Caenorhabditis elegans: one gene and its partner. The protein of the gene in region 1 purifies or fractionates together with the protein of each later gene. This does not show direct contact. Each region holds a gene or a part of one and is shown in the gene's direction. Other genes may lie near its edges.

Evidence for each region. The genes of interacting proteins can lie anywhere in the genome.
Region 2: the proteins of arl-8 (region 1) and vps-41 purify together in Caenorhabditis elegans (affinity purification with western blotting, with the first as the bait; one study listed by BioGRID). This does not show direct contact.

The regions. Positions count from the first base shown.
Region 1 is NC_003282.8:14,796,236-14,801,053, forward strand, and holds arl-8 (ADP-ribosylation factor-like protein 8B), read left to right. Parts: upstream 1-1,913; 5' UTR 1,914-1,943; coding exon 1,944-2,066; intron 2,067-2,114; coding exon 2,115-2,502; intron 2,503-2,549; coding exon 2,550-2,596; 3' UTR 2,597-2,992; downstream 2,993-4,818. Other genes in the region: coq-3 (Ubiquinone biosynthesis O-methyltransferase, mitochondrial), read right to left, coding at 1-89; nuo-3 (NADH dehydrogenase [ubiquinone] 1 alpha subcomplex subunit 6), read right to left, coding at 283-405, 454-726; Y57G11C.1147 (Protein BRICK1), read right to left, coding at 729-838, 899-947, 1,150-1,215; Y57G11C.14 (uncharacterized protein), read left to right, coding at 3,110-3,268, 4,046-4,237, 4,298-4,414, 4,459-4,560, 4,610-4,768.
Region 2 is NC_003284.9:5,281,858-5,285,457, forward strand, and holds the start of vps-41 (Vacuolar protein sorting-associated protein 41 homolog), read left to right. Parts: upstream 1-1,978; coding exon 1,979-2,260; intron 2,261-2,561; exon of another isoform or gene 2,562-2,636; intron 2,637-3,600. Other genes in the region: Y34B4A.2 (UV radiation resistance-associated gene protein-like), read left to right, coding at 1,245-1,415, 1,655-1,769. UniProt on the Caenorhabditis elegans protein: Plays a role in vesicle-mediated protein trafficking to lysosomal compartments including the endocytic membrane transport pathways.

The DNA.
Region 1 (4,818 bases):
ACATCAATAGAAGATACTGAAGCGGCTGAAGTAGTCGAGTGTAGTCGTTGTAGCTTTGCGATGATTCTGGCACTTCGTGAAGGGATCATCTACCAGGAAAAATAAAATTCAATCAAAATAAACAAAAAAAATCGAAAAAGAAATAAAATTAGGTCGTAGAACCTGCCAAATCAATTTTTAAGTCAAAAAATCAGATTTTATTCCTTCTAGTATCAGCCGATTCGATTTAAAATACGAGAATTTACTTTACAATTACACATAAAACACTGAAAAATAAAAAATCTATTCCTTTCCGTTGAGGAATTTGGAGAGGAAGTCCTTTGGCTTGGCTTCGACATTTTCAGCGAACAGGTAGTTGCGCACGTGATCCGGGTTGTAGAATGCGTAACGGATCGATTTCATGTGCTGAAAGTGACAATTAGAGTTTAGAAAATTTAAATTTTATTCAAAAACCTGATGAGTTTCTCCGACAAGTCTGTCAACGACACGAACATCGGTGAGATGTCCGTTCTTTGTGAATTGCTTCTTGATGACAGCACGGAACACGCCGAGCGGCATATCATGAAGTCCGAAATCCCACCAGAACTTTGGAGTGAGACGTTGGAACTCCTTATAAGCGGCGAGAACCGACATGCGTGCCTCGGCGGAATTGTTGGATTTGATTGGAGCGACGGTGCGAACGGCGTGTTGTCCGGCACGGACGACTCTTCCGGCAGTTGCAGACATTATTACGAAAGAGTATCTCCTTTGGTGACACGGGCTTCAAGAAATTCGACCTTTCGTTCCAAAAGGTTAAGCTTGTCGCTGAGAGTCGCTAGTTTTGTGCGGCAAGAGAGCTCTGGAAGAAATCAGATATTTTTTAAAGGAATTAATTTAAAATAATAATTTTTCTACAAACCAAAGCTGGACAAGAAGTTAGCGATGTTCTTGATGTTATCGGCAATAATCTGAAAGTTAGTACGGGTTAGTGTGGGAGATATGAATTCACACATGAATATTTGTTGTAAAATTGTATAAAATCACAACCTACTGAAGTGAAAAGCTATTTCAACACCGCAGTTAAAAATATTCAAAAATTTCAACAACCATTTTTAATCAATTTTCATTCACATTTCAATCGATTTCCATCATTTTTTTCCGTCTACTAACCTGCTCAAACTCGCGATTATCCCAGTCGTCCTTTAGTTGTTGTTGAACGGCTTCCGAAGCGTGCATTCAACGCTGAAAAGCTGAAAAACGGTGAAGGATGGTCGCCGGTGTGCCGCGTGCTGCGTAAATCGACACACTCGATCGCGGCGAAACCCGTCCTCGAAACTGCGTGCGCCTTTGATGTCAGCGGTCGTTCGATTGGCTCCTTGTCGCACTGATTTGGCTTTGGATTTCGTAATTTTCGACGGATTTTCGGGATTTTCTATCGATTTTTTGAGAATTTTCAAGGAAATAGACTGATTATTCATTAGTTTTTTCAAAAATTCCATACATTCATTGAGAATGGGTTAGACAAACGTAAATTCAGATTTTAGAAAATCGAGCAAACTGAGCAAAAAACTGTGTCCGCTTGAGAAATTTGTAAAAATTAAGACTATATTCACTGAAAACTCTTATTGCAATCCGATATTATCCAATGAAACTATCTGCTTTTAGCAATTCTATTGTTTTGAAACGTTTCTCTCAAAATTTTATAGACATCACGTGTTTTGTTGACTATTCTCGATGATTCATTGGTTTTGATTTCGTGAAAGTTACTGCAAAATAAATTTTGCGATAAGGAAAATCAATATTTCTACTTGTTTTTTTTTCAACAGCAAAAGCGAGCTTGCTCCAAAATTAATAGCGGTTTTCCGTTAAACCCTTCTGTTTTTCTTTGTGCTCTCTCACACACACACCCTTTTCAATCGAATTGCACTTTTCAGGAATTTCCTCATTCAACATCAATATTCAAGATGTTGGCTATGGTGAATAAGGTTCTCGACTGGATTCGCAGTCTTTTTTGGAAAGAGGAGATGGAGTTGACACTTGTTGGGCTCCAAAACTCTGGAAAAACGACATTTGTCAATGTTATTGCTGTTAGTTTTTCTGGAAAATAAATTTAAATTCAATGTTCTTCACTTTAGAGCGGCCAATTCACAGAAGATATGATCCCAACAGTCGGATTCAATATGCGGAAGATCACCAAAGGCAACGTGACGATCAAATTATGGGATATCGGGGGCCAGCCACGGTTCCGCTCGATGTGGGAACGATATTGCCGCGGTGTCAACGCCATCGTCTTCATGGTGGACGCTGCCGACGAGGAGAAGCTCGAAGCATCCAGAAATGAGCTTATGCAGCTGTTGGACAAGCCACAGCTCGACGCTATTCCAGTTTTGGTGCTCGGAAACAAGAAGGATTTGCCTGGAGCACTTGATGAGCGGCAATTGATCGAAAGAATGAATCTGTCATCAATCCAGAATCGCGAGATTTGCTGCTATTCTATTTCATGCAAAGAGAAGGAGAATATTGGTAATTTTTTAAATCTTTGAACCATTCTAAACTGAATTGTTTTCCAGATATCACCCTCCAATGGCTCATCGATCACTCGAAAGCTCAACGCTAAACTAGGCACAATCCACGACTCAATCTACTCGAAAATTTACAATTCACACCGCAAAATATATTAAATCAAACCTTTTTTTTTTGAAAATTCTGTAGATATTATTTATTTGAATCCCCTCCCCTCCATATTCAACTAATCTCTCTCGTCTTTTTCATCACAATTGTAGTCAATTTCCCCAACCCATTCGCTCCCAGTTTTATTTCTTTGGTAGCTTTCACTGTGGGATGTTCATCATCCCCATTCAAAAGTTGTGAAATTTCCCTCCAATTTTATGTACATGTTGTGTATCACTTTTTTGGACATTTTGCAACACCACTGCAACCATTCTCATTATTTTTTACAAATGTGCTTAATTCCTTAACTCTTCTTCACTCTTTTTCATAAATTGAAAATTTACTAAGGCATTTAGTTAACGTGTTGCTCTAGCATTGCAGCCTAATTTTTAAAATTCTAAAGTTGAATGAAAAAAAAGGAAATCAATTATTCCTTCAGTTTCAAAATTCGAAGCAAGCGATGGAATGTGTGAATTGTGATTGTACAGTCAAAACGATGGACAATTTGGATAAAGCGATTCGGGAACTGTTGCAACGTGGCAAACACGTCAATCGAATGATGGACAACGAGAAGATGATTAGAGAAGCTAGACGAATGGAAGAGGTTCAGCAGTTAAAGGTTTGAAAACTGAAAAACTCGGGTCTCGCAGCGATTTCTGGGGCGGTACTGTAATTTCTCCGCTTTTTTTCTCATTTTTCATGGATTTTCTTTATTAAACGAGAAAAATCGGACGAAAATCGCGAAAAACGAGATGATTGAAGTACAGTACTCTTTAAAGGCGCATGCCTCCTATTTTTGAGTTTCTCGATTGCGCCGAGACCAGGCTGCGGTATTGTACTTCTTAAAGGCACAAATCGATCGATTTTTGAATGTCTTTCGTTAAAAAGTCGATAAAAATCGAAGAAAGCATCGAAGAAAACGAAAAATTATATAAAATCGAAGAAAACGAAAATTATTTAAATAGCGGAAAATTGGAAAAAAATTGCAAAAAAGTAAGAGAAGTGGGGTACTGTATTTCTTGAAGGCGCATACACTTCTACGCAATCTACAATATAATGTTTTTTGTTCGTTTCGAGACCGAATTTGTGGAAAATAATAATAATAATTATAATAATTTATTACGCTCGCTGGGAGACGTGAAGGAATACAGAATACAAGAGTTATCATTGTTCGCTTGAACTAGAATTGGTGCAATCGGGCAATTGTTTCCATTCCATTAGAATGTTGTCCTTGTCCTTACGTTGTCCTTGCGTAGACTCCCCCATAGTGGGCGAGCGATTCCCGAGTGAAAATAATCACGGAATGAAAATAATCACGGAATCGTGAACAAAAACATTTTTTACGAAAAAAGTAGTTTTATTTAAAATAAAACTTAAAAAAAAAACAAATTTCCAGATGCAAATCCCGAAGCCTGTTGACAAGAAGCCCCGCTCATCGGAAAAGAACCTCAAGCTCATTTCATGTGAGGAAACTTGTATGGATGAGACGCTGAAAAACTCGTCAAAGCCACGTATTATCTTCAACAAACAGCTCGGACACGCCGAATCGATTGATTTCGATGTTCCATCGCTGTCTTATGAGAGTTCGGTAGGTTCTCTTGGTGGCCTAGTTTTCTCTTTTCCACGGCCACCGAAATTACTTTTTTAGGATAAGGGTGTCGTCGAGTCGACTACTTCGACGTCGGTGTCGAATCCGAAAAAGACGACTTCTTCTTCGATGTTCACCAAGTCGGAGGCCACTACAATTTCGGAGTTGACCACTTCTGTAAGCTGCAAATCTAGACAAAATCTACAAATTTACTGTTTCAGACGTTCAAAAAGGCTAAGAATCCATCAGGTGGTGCTCTTGTGTTGGATAATCATTATTTGATTAATAATGACGATGGAACTGTGAGCAAATTGCCAATGAAGGTAGGTCTAGGCGTGCCTGCCTACTGCCTATCTTGTGAAAATGTTCCAGATCTACGTGAAACAACATCTCGAAGATGGCTCTTTGGATGTTCAACTTGTATTTTTCGATGAAAACTCGCAAAAAGTGATGGATATTTCTATGTTGGTGAATGGGAAAAAGATCAAAGACGTTCAATTTTGTGGAAAAGACGCTAAACTTGTGAATTAGAACTTCTTTTTGTATTTTTTCGTAGAATTTTTCTGTGTGTCAAGTAAAAG
Region 2 (3,600 bases), on another chromosome or scaffold:
TTTTGTTTTAGATATTACAGTAACAATTATGAACATGTAATTGTCTGAGTTTCCTTATTTTATGCGCGGTAAAAAGTTGATTGATAAGCCGATATATTCCAAACTTCTGAATATGATTAATTACACGATTTTCAGCATTGTGGCACGTTTTAAAATTATTTTGAATTATTTTAGAGATTATCTGCGGCGCCAAATTCTAAAATAAGTAGCATACAATTTTCTTTTTTTTGCTATTTTCTCAAAGATTTCTAAATAGTTTACGACAATTTAGTTAATATTTAAACTTCTTGAAAAGTTGAATTGTACGCAATAGGAAAAATGCAACAGTTCTTTTTTCACAGTCTTTTGAAAATTTTCAAAATAAATTATTTGTCACTTTCACGGAAGATAAATACAGCGGACACTGCCAGCAATTGCTTGTTTCTCACGGTTCTCAAAAAAGGATTACAACTTGCTTGGTGCACCACCAGCAAGTGTATACTTTTACTTGTTTCAGGGGAATCTTAGTTGCTAAATGAGAAATAGTACTTTTCTTGTACTACTATTGAAAATAGTAAAACGCGTAGAGTAGGATATTATGAGCAGCTTGCAAGGTGTGTTTCTTATTCAAAACGAAATATATAATGAAGGCTACTTGCTTCGACAAACATATGCGAGAAATACACCAGGACAAGTGGGGAGTCGCCGGAAAATGTTTGTGAAGAAATGCCCGCCAAAATTAAAAATGGTACAATGGAGTAGGCAAGTGGTGCCAGCCAGTAATCAGGGAGGGCGCCCGTGTGTGTGTGTGTGGCCCCACTGATTTGTGATTGGTGTCAGAGAGTTAGAGAAGAAGAGTCACACACACATTTCGATGGCTATGTATGGCCTTGCAAGTTGAAACGATAGATACACTGTTGGCGAACAGAGCAAACATACTTTTTTCTGTGGCAACATCTGACTGAATATCTTCCCCTTGCACACTTTCACAGTGTGTTATTCAAGAGAGTTTAGTGGTGGTTTTTGTTGCGAATGGTTTAAAAAATTAGATGTATCGCGTTTCTCTTCTAAAAAGTGGTATATCCCTAATGGGAAATACAAGGCGGTGTGGTAAAAAAACCGAAAAATCTATGGTGATACAATGCTTAAATATCATGAGAACATTTCTTTATTTGGAAAATGTTTATTTCGAGCCAAAAAGTGGTGAAAACGGAGTTTACAAATGTTAGGATCCTTTCAAACTAACTAATGCAATTAATTTTTAGGGCAACGCTATCCGGATGGAAGAAAAGATCGGAACGTGAACGATTTCTTGAAGGACTCAGTTGGCTAGCCAAAAATATTGCCCAACTTCGATCCGACTGCGGAATTCCTACTCCAATGGCTGATAAGACACTTTCAGTATTAGCGGACTGGATACGTTCAGTGGTTGAAGGGTGGGTATATAATCAGAAAGAGAAAGAGAGAGAGAGAGAGAGAGAGAGAGAGAGAGAGAGAGAGAGAGAGAGAGAGAGAGAGAGAGAGAGAGAGAGAGAGAGAGAGAGAGAGAGAGAAACATATATCTGACGCTCTAGCCTTTGGAGCGCAAGCCTTATTTATATAGACTCTAAAACCAATAAAAATGCATAATTTATGCACAAGAATGTTGACGAACAAAATTTTCCCTTTTTTACAGGAAATATGTGTGCATTTATGATCGGCCTATCAACAATACAAGTAGTCCTTCAAGCCTTCTCGTCAACTTCCAACCACCACAAGATGCTTTACCTACAGACCTACCGGTACCATGATGATATCCATGTTGACTTACTGCACACATTTCATGTTGCATTGTTTGGGTTTATTTATTTTCAGTGTTTGAAAAAAAAACGAATTTATTTTTTGTATTGTTTTTATTTGTTTTTTATTTGTGTTCCACTAGGTTTAATACCTAGTTTCAAGTATTTGTATTTATATTTTGAAACTCTATCACATCTACTACAACAAGTTCTCAGAACCAATGGACGAAACACACGAGAATGAGGCGTCCGATTCCTTTGATCCAGTGTTCGAAAATTCCTACCATGATGACGTCACATTCAACACAGAAGACGACGATGAGCCACCATTAGAGCCTCGATTCAAATATGAGCGTCTGAAAGGAGAGGAAACACTTCCATTTATGAAAACGGCAACTTTCACGTCAATCGATCTGCACGATAAATTTATTGCAATTGGTACGGCTACTGGTCTCATTTACATTCTCGATCATCATGGGTATGGGAATTTTGATAGCGTACCGGTAAGTTAAGTACGGCCAGTGGGGAAATTATTTGAATCCATTTCTATTATGCTGAAAATGACTAACTAGGGAATGACCAGAATAAATGGAGCGATATTCAAAAAAAAAATATTGTATCGGAAAGCTGACATTCTCTACTATAAGAATATGACTGAAATTTTTGCCCGTTCGGGCTGGAAATCTGAAATTTTTACGTCTGAAATTCTACACTGAAATCAGTGCATTTCCTATGGTTAACAGTGGATTTTTGTCTCTGGCGCCAACAGAAGTCTCACCACAATGGTGGAAGGGCGAAAACATCGGTTCGGTGGTCGAGTGGTGAACGCGTTCGCCTCTTGAGCAGAAGTTTGTGGGTTCGGTTCCCATACATGGTTTAACTTTTGGCCTTTTTTATACAAAATTTTCAGAACGGGAAACAAGTATTTAGAACTTTTTTTTGAGGGTTTTACATAATTTTTTTGCTTTTTAATTGAACCATAATTACCCTGGAAACTTTTCAGAAATTTTAATTTTTTTCGAAAATTGTCACTTTTTTCTCCACCCATGAGAAAATTTGATCGAAAAATTTTTTTTTGAAATTTTTTTAAAAATGCATGAAATATTTTAGAGTGTCACAAATAACCTATTTTTCATTATTTTCAATGACCGAATCATTGATTCTGATGCCTTATCAAGACGTTTTACCAAATCGATATTGGCAAAACATCTTGTTTTTGAGGCTCCATATCTCTGCAGGAAAAAATCGCACTAAAAAGTGATTAACTGAAAACTTGTTAAACACAATGTAATCTAAAACTTTTCAGTTGAACACTTTTTTGTAAAAAATTTCGTTGCCGAGTTGGAACCAATTGATTTGAGCTTCATTATTTTTGAATATTCTAAATAGTTAAAGATCTATATCTTGGCAACGAAATTTTTTACAAAAAAGTGTTCAACTGAAAAGTTTTAGATTACATTGTGTTTAACAAGTTTTCAGTTAATCACTTTTTAGTGCGATTTTTTCCTGCAGAGATATGGAGCCTCAAAAACAAGATGTTTTGCCAATATCGATTTGGTAAAACGTCTTGATAAGGCATCAGAATCAATGATTCGGTCATTGAAAATAATGAAAAATAGGTTATTTGTGACACTCTAAAATATTTCATGCATTTTTAAAAAAATTTCAAAAAAAAATTTTTCGATCAAATTTTCTCATGGGTGGAGAAAAAAGTGACAATTTTCGAAAAAAATTAAATTTCTGAAAAGTTTCCAGGGTAATTATGGTTCAATTAAAAAGCAAAAAAATTATGTAAAACCCTCAAAAAAATGTTCTAAATACTTGTTTCCCGTTCTGAAAATTT